Linked DNA regions of Canis lupus familiaris. The protein of the gene in region 3 purifies or fractionates together with the protein of the main gene of each other region. This does not show direct contact. Links are inferred from orthologs where the notes say so. Each region holds a gene or a part of one and is shown on either strand. Other genes may lie near its edges. The genes, in order: PRDX1, PRDX2 and PRDX5.

Evidence for each region.
Region 1: the proteins of PRDX5 (region 3) and PRDX1 fractionate together in Homo sapiens (co-fractionation; 3 studies listed by BioGRID). This does not show direct contact. The link is inferred for Canis lupus familiaris from reciprocal best matches to the Homo sapiens genes PRDX5 and PRDX1.
Region 2: the proteins of PRDX5 (region 3) and PRDX2 fractionate together in Homo sapiens (co-fractionation; 3 studies listed by BioGRID). This does not show direct contact. The link is inferred for Canis lupus familiaris from reciprocal best matches to the Homo sapiens genes PRDX5 and PRDX2.

The regions. Positions count from the first base shown.
Region 1 is NC_049236.1:14,928,363-14,934,492, reverse strand, and holds the start of PRDX1 (peroxiredoxin-1), read right to left. Parts: upstream 3,663-6,130; 5' UTR 3,631-3,662; exon of another isoform or gene 3,371-3,630; intron 966-3,370; 5' UTR 955-965; coding exon 849-954; intron 1-848. UniProt on the Homo sapiens protein: Thiol-specific peroxidase that catalyzes the reduction of hydrogen peroxide and organic hydroperoxides to water and alcohols, respectively.
Region 2 is NC_049241.1:49,748,969-49,755,069, reverse strand, and holds the start of PRDX2 (peroxiredoxin-2), read right to left. Parts: upstream 3,857-6,101; 5' UTR 3,712-3,856; coding exon 3,613-3,711; intron 3,447-3,612; coding exon of another isoform or gene 3,296-3,446; exon of another isoform or gene 3,131-3,295; intron 3,120-3,130; exon of another isoform or gene 2,961-3,119; intron 2,483-2,960; coding exon 2,371-2,482; intron 2,282-2,370; coding exon 2,128-2,281; intron 1,515-2,127; coding exon 1,392-1,514; intron 1,219-1,391; coding exon 1,088-1,218; intron 133-1,087; coding exon 47-132; 3' UTR 1-46. Other genes in the region: THSD8 (thrombospondin type-1 domain-containing protein 8), read left to right, coding at 3,296-3,446, 4,571-4,770; RNASEH2A (ribonuclease H2 subunit A), read left to right, coding at 5,847-5,973.
Region 3 is NC_049239.1:53,258,747-53,264,774, forward strand, and holds the start of PRDX5 (peroxiredoxin-5, mitochondrial), read right to left. Parts: upstream 3,603-6,028; 5' UTR 3,414-3,602; coding exon 3,357-3,413; exon of another isoform or gene 3,313-3,356; intron 3,080-3,312; exon of another isoform or gene 2,856-3,079; coding exon of another isoform or gene 2,841-2,855; intron 1,811-2,840; exon of another isoform or gene 1,796-1,810; coding exon of another isoform or gene 1,751-1,795; intron 1,612-1,750; coding exon 1,477-1,611; intron 1,008-1,476; coding exon 876-1,007; intron 803-875; coding exon 764-802; intron 601-763; coding exon 539-600; intron 216-538; coding exon 110-215; 3' UTR 1-109. Other genes in the region: TRMT112 (multifunctional methyltransferase subunit TRM112-like protein), read left to right, coding at 3,729-3,806, 3,897-4,211, 4,301-4,408. UniProt on the Homo sapiens protein: Thiol-specific peroxidase that catalyzes the reduction of hydrogen peroxide and organic hydroperoxides to water and alcohols, respectively.

The DNA.
Region 1 (6,130 bases), on a different chromosome or scaffold from region 3:
GGAAACCTTAGTCACACGTTCCTCCCATAAACTGAATCCAGGAACTAATTACTGCACCACTAAGTTAAAAGGTACACTTAACACCTGAGTTTCAGATTTGCATTTCAAGGAATCTGTACATCAACTATCTCAGAAAAACCCTCCCCTCATTCCAGGACTGCAAGGTTTAAAAAAAAAGAGGAAGAGCTTTATCAGATTGCCAAGGTCTACCTGAAACTTAACAGGAAAAGAAAACTGTTCCAACTCTTCTCTTAGGGCAAAACAGTCAGGAGAATATGCCTAAGCCTCTGCTAATAATACAGCAACTCTGATATACATCTCTTTTTTTTTTTTTTCTGACATACATCTCTCAAAAAATTAATGGTGTAAGCTCCAAAGACTTGAAGGAACAGAGAGTATGTGCACACAAGGGGGTGGGGTGGGGGGAAGAGAGGGAGAAGCAGACTCCCTGCTCAGCAAGGAGCTGGATTAAGTGCTCCAGATCTGGGATCATGACAGAAGCCAAAGGCAGATGCCTAACTGAGCCACCCAGGCGCCCCAAGACTTGAGCTTTCAAGGAGTATCTCCAATAGAATTGAGGAGTACTGAGAAAATAATTGAGCTATTATGTCCAGGCATAACAAAGCATGGGCTTTTCCCGTAAGCAGTCTGAACCTACAGGATTATCCGTCATCATGGTTGGTAATCACTACATCACTTCAACATAAAAACAGCCACCTACTTTGAAGACTGACCTAGGAGGGAGAAGTCGTTTTACAATCAAACCTAACAGATATACAGAAATCTAATGATCCATCCTAGATGGTAAAATAATTCCATTTTAATAAATCTAATATAATTACTCTTACCTTTGTAGTCAGATAGGCTGAGGTCTTTGAACTGGCCATCTGGCATAACAGCTGTGGCTTTGAAGTTGGGAGCAGGATGCCCAATTTTGGCATTTCCTGAAGACATCTTGCTATGGGCTGGAGAAAAGAGGAAGTAAATTAGAAACAAGCCTTATTTTTCTAAGTAACCAACACCCTTCTACCTAGACACTTAGCTACAAAATAAAAGAATTATCCAGTGGCCCTAAATATACATACTAATTTTTTTATATTAGTAAGACGCATCTGAGAAAGCTCAGAAAACTGAGCTTTCTAACTTATGAAACAAAACCAAATATTACAGGGCGCCTGGGTGGGTCAGTCCTTTAAACATCTGACTCTTAAAAAAATAAAATAAGGGAACCCTGGGTGGCGCAGCGGTTTAGCGCCTGCCTTTGGCCCAGGGCGCGATCCTGGAGACCCGGGATCGAGTCCCACATCGGGCTCCCGGTGCATGGAGCCTGCTTCTCCCTCTCCCTCTCCCTCTGCCTATGTCTCTGCCTCTCTCTCTCTGTGACTATCATAAATAAATAAAAATTAAAAAAAAAATAAAATAAAATAAAATAAAAATAAAAAAATAAACGTCTGACTCTTGATTTAAACCCAGTTCATGAACTCAAGGCTAAGCACCGAGCCTGCTTAAAATTCTTTCTCTCTCTTCCCTTCCCCTGCGCTAGAAGACTCACTCTTAAAACAAAACAAAAAAAATCAGGGCAGCCCCGGTGGCGCAGCAGTTCAGCGCCGGCTGCAGCCCGGGGTGTGATCCTGGAGACCCAGGATCGAGTCCCACGTCGGGCTTCCTGCATGGAGCCTGCTTCTCCCTCTGCCTGTGTCTCTGCCTCTTTCTTCACTCTCTGGATGAATAAATAAATAACTCTTTAAAAAAAAAATCAGAATACTTCTCTGAACATCAGCTTTTGTTTTCCTTTAAAAACAGCAATTTTTAAAAATTGAAGTAACCTCTTACTTTTCCTAAACGATCATTTATGCAGTGACATTTTCTGTACTCTCATTATGCAAAAAGCTCCAGAGAAAGAAGGTTCGATATCAAAGCTGAGCCCAAATGAACAATTCCACAAACAGAATGTCTGATCTCTAGAAGTGGTCATGTTGCCCTTTCTCTGGACTGCATCTTTATCTGTCTTCAGAATTCAAGAAGTCCACATGACCTTTCTCCAGGTACATTTGCCCAAGAGACCGCACACCCCTAATCCAACTCTGGTTTTCTGTTTTTGTTTTTGTTTTTTTTTTTTAATTTATTCAGAGGCAGAGAGAGAGAGAGGCAGGCAGAGGGGCTGCCCCCCTAATCCAAGTCTTTAAGAGACATGATTCCCATCTGCTAAATTGCAAAACTTCAAGGGTTGTGTTTAAGCCCTAGAAGTCCTTTCAAAAGTAGGTTTCTGGGCAGCCCCGATGGCGCAGCGGTTTAGCGCCGCCTGCAGCCTGGGGTGTGATCCTGGAGACCCTGGATCGAGTCCCATGTTAGGCTCCCTGCATGGAGCCTGCTTGTGCCTCTGCCCCTTTCTCTCTGTCTCTACGAATAAAGAAATAAAATCTTTAAAAAAAAAAAAAAAAAAAGGTGGGTTTCTGACCTCAGGGCCAGGATTCTGGAGCAGCAAGTGGAACAAGGGTCTATTGCTGGGAAGCCTAGCTGGCTCAGTTGGTTGGAAGCATGTGACTCTATCTCAGGGCTGTGGGTTAGAGCTCCATGCTGGATTTAGAGATTACTTAACCTTAAAAAAAAATCCTTACTGCAAAACAAATCATTGCTAAAAAGCAATGCTGCACTGGATTCACTCAGGTCAACACAAAGTTAAGGAATTAAGATGTAAACCAGTAAGTCATCAGTTTGAAAGGCTCAAGAAGCTAATTTCCCAAATCCCAAACTTTTTTGGTGCATAAAACCAAGCATCTATTATTGCAAACTTTCTATTGCTAACGCCTTTTAAAAAAAAAAAAAAAAACCTAGTAAGGCAAGTTGCAATTTGGCGACCAAATATAGAGGGGGTGTGTGATCCTAACATAAACGACCTCCTCATCCAAACCTGCTTTTCCACGTGGTTCTCACGTCCACTAAAGACCGACTCGGCGGGGTAAAGGCCCTTAGACCTCAAGGCGGCGTGGGCCTCGGTGGATCTGCCCATGAACTTCCAAGGCTAAAGGCACGCCCCCAAATCCCGCTTCAGGTTCCCTCCTGCCGCTCCCATGAGAAACCCCACCACAGCACTTAGGAAAGCACTAGCCGCCCCCCCTAAAAAAAAAAGAAAAAAAAGCAGTCTTGACAAATTTGAGATCACTACAACCCTATTACACAAACGCAAAAAATAAAGCCAGGGTAGGAAATCAGTACCGGAAACTGCCCATGTAGGCCCAGCGGAGGGCCGGGAACAGTCATCACCTCCACCACACGACAGGCGGGTAGCCTCAGGTCAGTTTCCAGGTCCACTCTAGAAGATTCCTGAGCCCGCCCCGCCCGGAAGGAGCCTAGCTGAGGAGAGCCCACCACTACCACGAGGCCCCCTCGCCGCGCCAATGAGCGCCCTCCGCTCGGGTTGCCGGGGGAAGAGGAAACTCGAACCGACGTTAGCCTCAGGGTTTAAACAGGTCCCCGCGTCCGTAAGGGAGGGCGCGCGGACCGCCTAACTACTCTCGAGCGCCAGACCTCGTCCAGCCACCTCCCCCGTCACAGCACCCAAGCCAAGTAGGGCAAGACCCTGGGAGAACCAGGAAAAGACGACGACCCGGGCGTGGAGAACCTTCTCACCAGCGCTGAGGAGACTAACCGCCGATAACCAGTCAGGAAGAAGACGCGTGAGGCGAGCGCGGGGCGCTGCCTTTATAGCCTGCGGGGCTCTCGCGAGAGTCAGAGCGGGCTGGGGGTGCAGGAGGAGGAGAGGGAAGGGGGATCTGGCCCCGCCCCCGCCCCAGCCAACGCGCCCCGCCAGAATGACTCAGCACTTTCCCTCGCGGTGGGCGGGCTCGGGCTCGGAAGGTTGGGATCCCCCTCCCTGCTGCCGACGGTTAGGGTCGGGGAGCCGAGGGCGGCGGTGTCGAGGCCCCAATGCCCCTGTTACTCTGGGATCTCTGCGAGGGTCTCCTGCGCGTCCTGCCCTCAAGACCCAGACCGCGGTATTGGTCTTGCCCCACGGAGGATTACGTCTAATCCACATCAAGCACTTAAAATTGTCAAGTGTTTCTCACATATGCCACCCCGATCCCCGCAGCCTCTGCCGTAGTGCTGCCTCAGTACCTAGACAACCTCCTTCATTATTCTGATTTACAGGATTGCTGCTCTCCTTCTCCCACCCACTCCTAACGCAGCGGCTAGAGGGAATCTTTCTGAAATCTGATCAGTTCACTCCTCTGATTTGTGGTTTTAAAAACTGGGGCTCCGTAGTCTGTTTCCTGAGTTAAAACTCATTGTCATTTTATGTGTGGCCTTGATTGTTCTCACCCGTAAAATGGAAAAAAACTAGTAATTCCTTGGGATCATCTTTGTGGCTTACTTAGCACAATTCCTAGTTCTTATTATACGTTAGAAATGTTAGCTGTTATTATAGAATTCTTCCTTGCTCCTAGCTGGATTGTAACACCCAGAACAATGTGTCGCTGTTTCAAGACTTCAGGCTTTTGTTCAAATATGAAGAATCTGTTCCCTCCTAGTAGACCTAGAGAAAATGTCTTTGAAGACCGCCGAAGCATGACTTCTGGAACTGTTCCGGACCTTGGCTCATCCTCAAAAGTCCTGGAAAGCTGTTCTGGCTTTTGCTCCTCCCCAGAATTTATCATTCCGTCCTTTGTGCCCAAAACAACATCCTGTAAGGCCAGAAGCTATACAAAATACCTCTTTAAAAAATATATATATTTTGTTTATTTATTCATGAGAGACACAGAGAGGCAGAGACACAGGAAGAGGGAGAAGCAGGCTTCATGCAGGGAACCCGACGTGGGACTCGATCAGTGGGACTCGATCAGGCATCTCCAGGATCACACCCTGGGCCAAAGGCAGCTCTAAACCACTGAGCCACAGGGGCTGCCCTCTTAAGCTATTTTATATGTTTATATGCCTGTCTCTTCTTGCTACATTGACTTTCTGGAAAGTAAGGTTTGGGTTACACACACCTCATGTCCCTAAGACATAACAGAGCACTCGATATAAAATAGGCGCATGTAATAAATACATTATGTCCACACTGCCTCTATCACGACCCCCCAACCACCACCATCCTATTAACTGCCTTATGTATCATAGCAGGATAAAAAATGGGAACATGCTGGGACGCCTGGGTGGCTCAGCGATTGAGCATCTGCTTTCTGCTCAGGGAATGATCCTGGGATCTGGGATCCAGTCCCACATTGGACTCCTTGCCAGAAGCCTGCTTCTCCCCCTGCCTGTGTCTCCACCTTTCTCTCTATGTGTGTCCCTCATTCATGAATGAATAAATAAAATCTTAAAAAAAAAAAAAAAAAAAGTAAGGGATCCCTGGGTGGCGCAGTAGTTTGGCACCTGCCTTTGGCCCAGGGCGTGATCCGGGAGACCCTGGATCGAATCCCACGTCGGGCTCCCGGTGCATGGAGCCTGCTTGTGTCTCTGCCTCTCTCTCTCTCTCTGTGTGACTATCATAAATAAAAATTTTTTTAAAAAGTAAGAAAATTTTAAAAAAATAATGGGAACGTGCTGTGTCAAGGTGCCTGAGCATCTCAAAATTTTTCTGCATTTATCACCCTATCTAGCAACAATCATAATTTTGTTTGTTTCCTTCTCTACCTGAGAATGAACAGTTATTTGGCCATTATTTATTTCCTTCAAGAGGCAGCAGGGGAAATGTAGAAGTTCAGAGCTTTATAGTGGATGGTTATTGCTATGGGCAGGTTAAACCAACAACACACAGTCCTATTTCAGCCAGAAAAAAAAAATTATTGTATCTTCCATGTGCCTGGACTGGGGCACTTGGGCTTATTTGTGTCATTCAAAAACCAGAAGAGGGATCCCTGGGTGGCTCAGCGGTTTGGCGCCTGCCTTTGGCCCAGGGCGCAATCCTGGAGTCCTGGGATCGAATCCCACATCGGGCTCCCGGTGCATGGAGCCTGCTTCTCCCTCTGCCTATGTCTCTGCCTCTCTCTCTCTCTCTCTCTCTCCCTCTCTGTGTGACTATCATAAAATAAAATAAAATTAAATTAAATTAAATTAAATTAAATTAAATTAAAAAAAACAGAAGAGGGATGCCTGGGTGGCTCAGTGGTTGAGTGTCTGCCTTCAGCCC
Region 2 (6,101 bases), on a different chromosome or scaffold from region 3:
GGTGTAGGTGGGGGCCAACAGCCCAAGCTTTCCGCATGTCTGCAGTCTAGTTGTGTTTGGAGAAGTATTCCTTGCTGTCGTCCACGTTAGGCTTGATTGTGTCACTGCCTGGCTTCCAGCCAGCAGGGCATACTGTGGGGAGACACAGGGATGCACATGTGAGGCTAGAGCCACATCTTCAAGGTAGGGCAGTACAAGGGGATGAACAGAGGCAAAGCATGAGCCTGAGTAGCAGAAGCAAAAGCCCAGAGCCAAGTGGTACAGGCCCATGACCATACAGCATATTGAGAGAAGTCCTTCAAGCTATAGGATGTTCTGGCTGACATTTTTATTTCTTTTTGGACACCCTCCCCATTGTTTTATAAAGATTTATTTGAGAGAGAGAGAGAGAGCTCGAGCAGGGGGAGAAGGACAGAGAATCCTCTGAGCAGGCTCCCTGCTAAGTGTGGAGCCTGACAAGGGGCTGGATCCCAGGACCTGAGACCATGACCTGAGCCAAAACCAAGCGTCAGATGCTTAACTGATGGAGCCACCTTGGCACCCTTCTCTCTGACCCCTTTGGATCCTATTTCTCCTTCAGCCATAGATCCACTGGACTTCGAGGGCCTGTGACCAGGCTGTGTCCTCCCACGAGAGTACTCTGATCCAACTAATATTTTTTTAAAGATTTATTTATTTATTCATTCAGAGAGAGAGAGAGGCAGAGACACAGGCAGAGGGAGAAGCAGGCTCCATGCAGAAAGCCTGATGTGGGACTCGATCCTGGGTCTCCAGGATCACACCCCAGGCTACAGGCGGCGCCACACCGCTGCGCCACCGGGGCTGCCCTGATCCAAATAATATTATCCGAGCTTGCCTTGGTACATGCCTTCTCAAATACCTTCTGTAAATCTGTTAACTCCTGGCTCCCCACCCTCATATTAGGGTATCTCCCCCACCAGACTAGAAAGGTCCTGCAGACAAGGCCCCGAACTGAGTCTTCTTTGGGGCCCTCATATCCATCCCACACAAGTGATAGAGCAGTGAGTGTCTGCATGAGGGCTGAGTATGTACCCACAGGTGAACACAGGTGAATGTGTGTGCTCACCTTCCCCGTGCTCATCCGTGTACTGGAAGGCCTGAACCAGCCGCAGAACTTCATCCACGGAGCGCCCCACAGGCAAATCATTGACAGTGATCTGGCGAAGGACACCCTTGCCATCGATGATAAAGAGGCCCCTGAAGATATCAGGGTTCATGGTGAGGAACTGGGAGTTCCCGCTGCCAGGGCCAGGGGAGGGAATAACACCTCCCTACCAGCCGGCCACAGGGCTGGGGGGCAGGGAAGACACTACCCAAGCATTGTCCCCTGCCCCTGAGGACCGGGGGCTTCTCAAGGGCCCCCACAGTACCTGTAGGCAATGCCTTCATCTTCCTTCAGCACACCATAATCTTCAGATAAACTTCTGGTTACATCAGCCACCAGGGGGATGTTCAGGGGGCCCAACCCTCCTTCCTTCCTGGGAGTGTTGATCCTAGGGGTGTAAGAGACAGCGCTGGATCCTCACCCCGGGGGCTTAGGTATGATAAAGACTGGAGGAGAGGTACTGGAGCTGAGCGATAAGGGGCTTTAGAGCAAGGCTCTAGGATCCCCACCCACTCCACCCTCAAGAGGCTGCAGGGGCTGTTTCCCACAGCTGCGAACACTAAGCCAAGGCTCTAGCTCCAGTCAAGGGTGTTCACATGTGCTGGTGACCTCCCACAGCTCAGGGCAGAAAGCCTGCCTTACAGCCCCCCATCCTCCTCTCTAGTTCTGTGTGTTGGGGCCCAGCCCTTCACCAACTAGAACTGGAGTTTCCACCTTCTTGAAATAGCTATTGGAAGGGAAGCTGTGTAGCCCTAAGTGAGGTAAAGCATCTCCAACTCCCTGGGCCAAGCAACTAGTTTTCAAATGCTAATTAGGCCATCATCATTAAGGACTTGGGCGTTCTGAATGCTATTATTTTCAAGACGGCGGGGGGGGGGGGGGGGGGGGGGGGGGGGGGGGGCGGAAGGAAGGCACAGACGTTGAGCAACAGCCCCAAGAAGGATCCTTGAGGAGAATGTAGGCCCGGTGACATCCTCCCTCCCTGCGGGTCCCGCTCATACCAAGCCAGGTGGGTGAACTGAGAGTCCACGGAGACCCCCAGGACCTCACAGCCCAGCTTGCGGAAGTCCTCGGCATGCTCGCTGAAGGCGATGATCTCCGTGGGGCAGACGAAGGTGAAGTCCAGCGGGTAGAAAAAGAGGACCAAGTATTTCCCTGGGGAAGGAAGCGGGGATAGACAAGGAATTAGGCCTCTAACGCCTGGGTCCCACCCCCACCTGGGCCCACTCTCGGCTGCCCCTCACCTTTGTAGTCGCAAAGCTTCACCTCCTTGAAGGCGCCATCCACCACGGCGGTGGCCTGGAAGGGCGGGGCGGGCTTTCCGATGTGCGCCTTGCCAGAGGTCATGACTGCAAGCTGAGACACCCCCCCGCCCCCCGCTTGGTCAGCGCGCCCGGGAAGACCCTCTGTCGTTCCTTCCCAAGGTCATGCTGCGTGCTGGGCCCGGTTACTGAGAGGCAGAGGCCGCAGCACTACCCCGCACCCTCCCGGGTACCGGGCTGCGCGGCCTGGACACTGCAGGAGACCCGCCCCCCTGACCAGCACTAGCGGCCGGGCCGCAGGCGCCGGGGCCCCCCATTAGCGTCTCGGCTTGAGCTCCCTGGCACCAGCCCACCGCTCCGGGAGGAGCCCCCGCGAGCCGGGGGTGGGGAGCTCGCCGATGCGGCCTGTGTTGCAAGGCCGAGGCCTCGGTTTCCCCTGCAAGGACAAAGGCGGCCACTCCGGCGGGCGGAAACAAAGGCTGCAGCGCTAAGGTCTGGACCCGGCCGGAGCCGCTCCGGGGTGGGGTGGGGGGGGGGCTTCCCAGAGCCCGGTGCCCTCTAGGTGTCCATACCTGCGTGGGCAAGGGCGGCGCGCACGGGCTGGCAGACGCGCGAACACACGTTCTCAGCGCCGAGCGCGCCCTGGGCCTGGGTGTCTTTTATGCGCGGCCCGAACCATGACGCAGAGGGCGAGGGGGGGTGGGCGGACGAGCGGAGCGGTCGGGTCCACTGCAACCGCGGGGGGGTGGGGAACCAGGCCGGCCGGGTCCACGCGCCCGCAAGCGGCGGGAGGAGTCGGGGAACGCGGGCCCCGACCACTACCACCGCTGGCGGGGGGTGACGCGGCCACCGCATCCCCCGCGAGGAGCTCCTCCTCGGAGCGCGCCCGGGTCGGTTGGAGTCCGGCATGGCCCGGAGCCCGGCGGACTTACTGCTGCCGCCTCTGATTCTCCTGCTTCTGGGGACCCCTGCTAGGGTCTCCCCCAACTACAATTACTTCGGCGAGAAGAGCGAAGGCGACCTCTGGGAGGAGCTGCGGCTGCAGCATCAGGAAAAAGGTAACCGCACGCTGCGGGGGTGATGGTGCGGAAAGGTGCCCTATTGCCCCACTTTGCCAGCTGGCTGCAAACAGACCCTCGTCCAGGGACTTCAGATCTCTCCCCGTCTGCACACTGGCTGGCCCCCTTGGGCTGGTTACTTTTCTCCGAGGCTCAGTTTTCTTACCTGTAAGTTGAAATAGAGACTGACTTTACACCGCTTACAGGGGCAGAGGGGGATATGGGTAGACAATAAATCCAGAACCAGACACATCCATAAACTCATGGATGAGCGCTAGGAAGTATAGGGATAGAGGAAGAAAGGGGCGGGTAAATGTCTCAAGTCGGAAAAGGCCTGACGGAGCAGATCGGTAACCAATGCAGCAGGAATCCAGCAAAAGCGAAAAATACAAAGATTGAGGGAGAAGAGTGTGCCAGGGAATGGGAACAGCAAGTGCCAAAGCCAAGAGGCCAGGCGGAGGGAAAGAAAGAGGCCAGTGTTGTCTTGGGAAGGCATGAAGTGTTAGGACTTTGTGAGCTGCAGAGTTGGGATAAGACCAGTTTCCTAGGGGCATAGGGAGGAGTCCATAAAAGAACATTGTAAAAGAGCCTCTGATAAGCACTCAGAAGGTTGGAGCTGCTTGAAAAGTGGTCATTATAGTTGTTTTTGTATTACCTGCTAGCACATCACCAGAGACTTTCAGTACCTTCATTATATTATGCCAATTATGTCACTTAATTTACCACCTGGCATCCCTGCTGGTTAGGTGGCACTATGCCTACTGAACAGGCCCATTATCACCACTCCCCCAAGACAGGAGTCAGCTTCAGATGGTGGGCACCAAAGGTGTTGTATCACACTCCCAACTGGACAGGCTGGCACAGGTGGGAAGTGTCAGTTTGCAATTCCTCTGGGCAACACACCAGATGTATCAGCTCAAGGGGTGGCTTGCTTTCTATAGGTCTCAGTTTCCCCACCTGGGAATAATGGGAAAATTAAATTAGATCATCTATGGTGGAGTGCTTGGCACAGACGCAGAGCCCAGCAAACAGGAGATGTTGTTGTTAGTGTATTTATCTGCCTCTCTTCCTAGAGGAGGGCATGGCGGGGGTAGGTTCCCCCCTACCTGGCCCTCTATCCCTAGACTTGGAGGACTCGATCCTTGGCCCCTGGGGGAAGTGGCGCTGTTTCTGCGACCTGGGCAAGCAGGAGCGCAGCCGCGAGGTCCTGGGCACGGCGCCGGGTCCGGTGTTCATGGACCGCGAGAATCTGGTGCAGGTGCGGCCCTGCAGGCAACGGGATTGTTCATCCTGCAAACCAACGGATTGCGACTGGAGGCCCTGAACCCGGGTGAGAGACTAGCGCAGAGGAGGCGGGGCCAGGGCAGGTGGTCTAGTCCGGGGTTGGGAGTCCTCAGGGCCTGGGATGAGGCGAGAGAAAAGGCGGGGCGTGGGGGGTGCGGGCAGGAGAGCCTTTAGGGATGAGGCTTAAAGATGGTGGGGAAAGGTGAGCTGAGTCAGGAGCCGTGAGCCCCACTGATACCCGGGGAGAAAGGAAGAAAGCTAGTCATGGGCCGGGAGGGGGGGATCAGAGATGGAGGAACTGTGACCCTGAGGAAGGGACATGAGCCTGATGAGGGTCAAGGACCTATAGGGTGACGATGTGAGCCCCTTTGAGACTCGAGAACTGGGGGACATGAACCCTCAACTGGGGGTAATGGCCCTGCCTTGTGGGCTCAGACTCTCAGCAGAAGCCTATTGAGATCTGGGATCACAGTTGGGAGGGGGTGGGTGGAGGAGGCCTAGCCCCAGTTAGAGAGAGGTTAGGAAGCCGGGAAAGGGAGGGCGAGAGTCTGGGTGAGGTACCGAGAGAGGGAGCTGGACAGCAAATCTGAAGGCCTGAGCCCAGTGGAAGTAGGAATACCTGGTCCGGAGGGCTTAGCCTGTGTGGAATGGCAGGGACAGGGACCAGAGCCAGCATCCAGATCGGGGACCGGGACCCAGTGATGTGGGCACTGGCGGTAGTCTGGCAGTATAGTGATATTTGACCTTCTAGGCCCTGGCTGGGCCTCGGCCTCCAAGGCCTGCGTCAGTTTCCCACTTTTATTTCCCTATCTCCTAGCAGCCCCGACGGGCGGGGCGTCAGGGACTCCGGGGCGGAGCCTGGAAGGCGACCCCGCCCACCCCGTTCCCCCGAAGGAGCTCGGCGGTCGGCCTTGGGAACTACAATTCCCAGGAAGCCGCGCGGCAGGAGTTTCGGTGGCGGCTGCGGAAACGTCAACGGTGGCCGGAGCGTCGGGGGCGTGTCCCGGGCACCGATTGGTCGGGAGCCAGAGCCGCTTCGGGGCCGGCGGAAAACGCGCGCCTAGAACCGCTCCTGTAGACCTGGTTCTTGCGGTCGGTGGCGGCGGCAGAGACGGCATGGATTTCAGCGAGCTGGACAGAGACAACACGGGCCGCTGTCGCCTGAGCTCGCCTGTGCCCGCGGTGTGCCGCCAGGAGCCCTGCGTCCTGGGCGTCGATGAAGCGGGCCGGGGCCCGGTGCTGGGTGCGCCCCCAGGGCTGGGCTGGGGGAGGGGCGTGATTAGGGGAATGCACGTTGCACTGGAACGCAAGCCGGGATTGTACCCTACCCGGGGAGGGGGGTGATGGTGGTAATGGCACCGAAAAAAGCGG
Region 3 (6,028 bases):
TTCCCACTGGGTGGACCTCGTCGAAGTTGGAGCAGAGTGGGCCCTTTGTCCAGGGCTGGGCAGGTGCAACACACGAAAGAGTAGAAGGAGTATATCTGGGCCCAGGCACTCAGAGCTGCGAGAGGATGTTGGGGGCCAGGCTGCAGGTGAGGCCTGTACCATCTGGCTCCACATTCAAGGACTTCACTATGCCATTCTCTATCACCATAGAGAACCTGCCAGAAAGAGAGACGGCCAGGGGCGCTTGGGTAGTGCAGTGAAGCATCTGACTTTTGGTTTCCCCTCAGGTCATGATCTCAGGTTCATGAGATCAAGCCCCTCATCAGGCTCTGCACTCAGCATGGAGTCTGTTTAAGACTCTCTCTCCCTCTCCCTTTGCTCACTTCTGCACACTTGTGTGCATGCTCTCGCTCTCTCTAAAATAAGTAAATCTTTAAGAGAGAGACACCAAGCCAATTACAACAGCCTAGGCCTGAAGGCTGGGAATGGAGGTCGAAGGGGTGCAGGGGAACCCCACAGAAGACCCTCCTACTTTTACCTCTTGAGCCGATGATTTCCAAAGAGAGATACCAATGAATCATCTAGTAACAAATCTGTCTCCTAAAAGAAAAAGCAGAGACAAGGCTTAGAAACTTCCAGAACAGACCAAGCCCTGTCCCCACCAGCTGTCCCTCACATTATAGCCATGTCCCTCCCAGTTCCTGTATCCAAGGCCCGGCACAGGGACCACCCTCTAGTGTGGGGGTTGCTGGTGTGCACTCACCTTCCCAAAGGCCCCAGTGGGGTCAGCCAACAGCCTAACCTAAGGAGAAAGTAAAGGTCAAAAGAACAATCCCCTGCCTGGCCCCTGACCCCCTGCAGGGCCCACATCTCACCTTGCCTCCTGAGTTATGAGCTCGTCCCCATGCCTCAGTCACGAAGACATCATTAACGCTCAGACAGGCTATCACCTGGACCCCCTTGGCCTTCAGAGCCTCAGCCTGCTCCATGAATCCTGGCAAGTGGGTCTAGGAGGGGAAATGAAGGGTCAGCAGAGGGATAATTGCCTCTGCTCATTGGCCTACCCATTATCTCCAGGAAATCCTCATTTCCTTTTGAATATCTTTGATCAGACCGTTAGAAACGCATAAGCCACAAGGAAGCTCAGGTCCAAACTCGAGTGTTCGGTAGTCACCATGAACTTCATCCCAGGGACATGACTATACTTTATTTACCCAAGCACCTTCCATGGTGCCCATCCATGGTGCCCATCACCAGCAACATCAATAAGACAGGTGGGACTTAATCACAAGACCCTTTTCTCCTGCATTCCTGATGTCACTACCTTTTCACCACCTCCACTTATTTTCTGAGTGCTCTGATAGGCCTTCTGTCACCTTATCTATGTGTCCTCGTCGCAAGCTGCCCTAGGACTTAGGAACAATACAGATGTATACACAAGATTCCAACCAGGGAGTCCCAGAAGGGTGGTCTCACCTTGGAACAGCCAGGGGTAAAGGCCCCAGGGACTCCAAACAGCACCCCCTTCTTGCCCTTGAACAGCTCTGCCAGGTTCACCTCGTTCCCAGGCTCCCCTTCAAAAACCGTCACCGAAGGGATGGCATCTCCCACCTAGAGGGAATGGCTTCATGATTACTTTGGTTACTTTAAAAGTGAGCAAAGATGACTAGAGATAGGCTAGACAAGGAAATAAGGAGTTGGGGAGTGAGGGGGTGGGTAAAGAGGCCAAAGGAAAGGTGTTAAACCAGACCAGGCAGTTCCTTCTAGTGGAGCAGAGTTGACAGACTTGTAACATCCTAACCAGCCAGTTTCCAGCGATCCCTCCCTGCCACCCTACCTACCCTCTTCCCCCCACCGCCTGATTACTCCACATCCTCCAGGTTTCAAGATGGCCCTATTCCTTTCACCGGTTTGTTGATGACAACAGAAAATGGAGGAGGAGGCCTCCCTGGGTGTTGCAAGGGATTGAGTAATCAGGGAGTCTCTTTCTTACCAGAAAGAAGTGGGATCTGCAGGCAGGGGAGGAGATGCATGGGGCCTATCTAAGGGGTGAGGAGGAGACGCTGACAACAGGGAGGGAGAGGCCCCTGGCCAGGTCTGAGTGTCCAGCGCTCAGGAAGAGAAAAGGGGAGACCAGCAGAAGGTGAAAAGTTGGGGAGGGGGAATAAAATAAAAGGAATTTCTCAAAGGGGATGGATTAGTCTACTTAGGAAGAGTGTGTGAATGTTTCATGGAGCCAGAGGAAATACGGGAAGGGAGGACAAATCAGGGAGTGGGAGGAAGATAAAGGAGGAGGAGGTTTCAGAAGAACGTGGAAGGGTTCCCAGGATCATTCCAGGTGAGGGTTTGAAAGACTCGGCAGAAGGGTGGGCATGAGCTGCGGGAGAAGCGGAAAGGAGGAGACAAAACAGGGGCTCTAACGGAAAACACTTGTTCCAGACGATGGGGTGAAGAGTGATGCCCCAAAAATATAACAAGAACGTGCAGGAAGGTTTGCAGGGGAGGGGCACGTAGGAGGGTTGAAGAGCAGCCCTGCGGCAGAGGAGAGGGCCGGTTCCGGAAGGCGGAGGAGACGCCTACAGATGGTGGAGACCCATCTTGGTGCCGCATGGTGGAAATGGGAAGGGGGCGAGGGGAAGGCTCGAGAGCTCTGGGGCTGTCCAGTGGATGGGGTACAAGTCCCCTAAAACTGGCGAGACTGCAAAAGGGTGTGGCTGAGGGAGAACCGCAGGAGGAGCGTCCGGCGCGGCGGGCAGGGGTCCTGAGGGCAGGAAGGAGGGGGATTCTCTCCCGGGAGGACGGGCGGGAGGGGAGCTCAAGCTGGCCCGGCCAGCGGTCACCTTGATTGGGGCCATGGCGGAGGCGGCGCTTCTGAAACCGTGGGCCCCGCCAAGCGTCCAGTCCCTGCCTCGCTGCCGCACCCTCCGGCTGTCGACACTGCCTGTGCTGCAGACCCGAAGGCAGCCGCGGGGACGAACCCGGAGCCCACCGGGCCGGTCAGGGCGTCCAACGCAAGCGGCCGCACGCCGACCCCGCCGCGCACCACGGCCCGGCCCCCGCGGCCCAGGCGCGGCGAGGGGCGGGGCCCAGCAGGATAAGCCCCCGCGGGATCCCGCGAGAGGCGGAGCATCAGCGAGGCCCGCCCACGGCTGGGCTCCTCCACTGCGCAGGCGTCGGGGCGCGAGCAAGGGGCGGGGCTTCTGGGGCGCTCGGCTCTTGGGCGTCTGGGGCTGGACAACCAGGGCAGTTACAAGCGGGCGGGGCTTTCGACAGCCGCGCGGCTTATTTGCGTGCAGGGATGGGTTGTCGCTCTCGTGGTGGGCGTAATTTACGGATTGACCGCAGCGTTTCCTTACCCGGAAGCGAGGGGCGGCAGACGATGGTGCCAGGCCGCCCGTGTAGGAGAAAAGCATGTTTATTTTGCATTCAGCAAAGGCCCCTGCGCTGCGGCGGCTTTACACGTGATCTACACTGAGCGTGATCTGTAGTGAATGGAAGCCACTGGGGCTACGCCGCAGTCCTCTGCCAGGCCGCTTCCGGCAGCAGCGCGTGACCCGACCAAGCTCTTCAAGCCCCTCCGCCCCGGCTGCTCGGGAACTTGCAGCATGCCGGCCACTTCCGCTGGCCCGAGCCGTCCAATAGGACAGAGACGGGAGCGGTTCCGGAAGTGACGCGAGGAGCGTCTGCTTTCCTCCGGTTCCGGCCTGGGGAAAGCGCGTTGCCGCGACATGAAGCTGCTCACCCACAACCTGCTGAGCTCGCATGTGCGGGGGGTGGGGCCCCGTGGCTTCCCTCTGCGCCTCCAGGTAACGGCGGGGGGGCGGGCTCGCGGCCGTGCCCTGGGCGGAATGGAGAAGCCGGGCTCTGGTCCCTAACAGAAGCCCTCCACCCTGCAGGCCACCGAGGTCCGCATCAACCCCGTGGAGTTCAATCCCGACTTCGTGGCGCGTATGATACCCAAGGTGGAGTGGGCGGCGCTTTTGGAGGCGGCGGAGACCGTGAGGACCCTCCCCCACGCCCGTGTTCACCTTCCGGGGGAGTGGGGCGGGGGGGAGTGGTCTCACCGCCAGCCCAGAGCGAGGGGCGGGACGCCCGGAGATGACTTAGGCCTTTGCCCACAGTTGCATCTGGTCGAGGTACCCAAAGGGCCGATTGAAGGGTATGAGCATGATGAGAAATTCCTGAGGCAGATGCACCACGTGCTGCTGGAGGTGAGAGCAAGCCCATCGCTTGCTTCCCCGGCCACCCAGCCACAGCCCGAGGCTGCGGGTACTCAGCTCTGTTCCCCGCTTCCCCGCAGGTGGATGTGTTGGAGGGCACCCTGCAGTGCCCAGAGTCTGGACGTCTGTTCCCCATCAGTCGCGGGATCCCCAACATGCTGCTGAGTGATGAGGAAACCGAGACTTAATCGTGCCAGATACTAATTTTGAAGTCTGTAACTGTGTATGTTTCTGTTTATATCTAGCCTATTTGCTAGTCCGTCGTGTATCCCCACCCGTGACCCAGTGACACACGAGAAACACGATGTTCTTGAGCTCGATATATTTCTTTTTCTCATTAAAGGTTCAAAACCAAAAGCGGTTTCTCTTTGCAGCAAATATACATTAAAATAGAGTCTCTGTACAGCCAAGGGCTCTGGGCCCTGGCTTGCCCTATGTCCCTGCACCTCCCTGGCCAAACCCAAAAATAAATATAGTGTTATTGCTCTGCAGGGCATAGAGGCAGTGCTCTCACTACCCCCTGAGGAGGCTGGGTGGGAGCTGATGGGGGGCCATGGCCACCCCAGGGGTCCAGGGGCTGGAGCCTGCTTGGAGTTATTGCTTCAAGGGGGGGGGGGGCAGTAATGCCCAATGCAAATGATGAGGAGAGGAGCGAAGGGGGCAGGGGCCTTTGCTCTCCAAATCCCCCTCTGCTCTGGAGAGGGGGTAGGATTAAGCAGCAGCAAAAGCATCACCCACTGGGAGACTGTTGCCTCCACTCCCTTCCCTCCCTGAGATCAGGCTTCTGCCCCCGCCCCCAACACACACACACATGTCCCCTGCAGCCCCCTATGGCTTCCGCAAGGCCCCCGACACTCTGGGGGCACGTTATGGCTTGCAAGGGGCAGCACTGTGCCCAGAGCCTGGGCGCACACATTCCCAGCTTCTAAGACCCCCTGGGAGAGAGGAGGGGAGGGCGTAGGGCCTGTTCCCAGGGGCTGATGATATTGCCCTGGCCCTGCCAGCAGGCTGTGGCACTGCCCAGACCCCAGCTCTGCCCCCTTGGGGCTGAACCCATTCCGGGCGGGTCCTGCCAGCACCCCCACCCATGCCCACCCCTTGCCTCAGTCCATCATGGCCTCGAGCATCTCCAAGAACAGCTTGTGCATGGGCACCTTGCCCTCCAGCTTCACCCCGTAGAAATGGGCCAGCACTTTGCCCGCTGTCTGGCGTAGGAGCGGTAGTGTGAGCAGCAGCCTGCCTGCCCGCCGCCGCTCAGCACCCCCTCCGGGGCCTGCCCGGCCGGCTTCATATTCCAGCAGGGCCTCATGTAGAGCTTCTCGCAGCTGCTCCACAGCCTCGGCATCCTCAATGTGCACGGAGTCTGCAAGGAGGGGTCAGATGCTGTTGACATGGACCATCTCCAGAAATGGCTAAGCCCACATCTGCTTGAGCACTGTGGGATGGGGCCTGAGGAGGAGCCAGATGCAGATCCGATAGGCTTATTGGAGCACCACTCACTGCTCCTGCCCATGAGCCATGGCCCACCCTTTCTTCCTCACCTATGGCCACCTTTTGTCTTCCCCCCACTTCCCTCCCACTGAATCGTTCACCTGTCCACATAAGGATGGCCCTAGAGCTCCAAATCCTACATGTAGTTCCTGGGTCTGCCCTCACCTTTGGGACTTGAAACAAAACACTATTCATCCCTAATCCCCAATTTTTATCATCTGTGAGATGAGATGGTGCCACAATCAGGGTTACAGACTAGAGGGCCTCCTGGAGACACCTGTCACCATGGACTCACCTGAATTGGCAAGGGCCAGAGC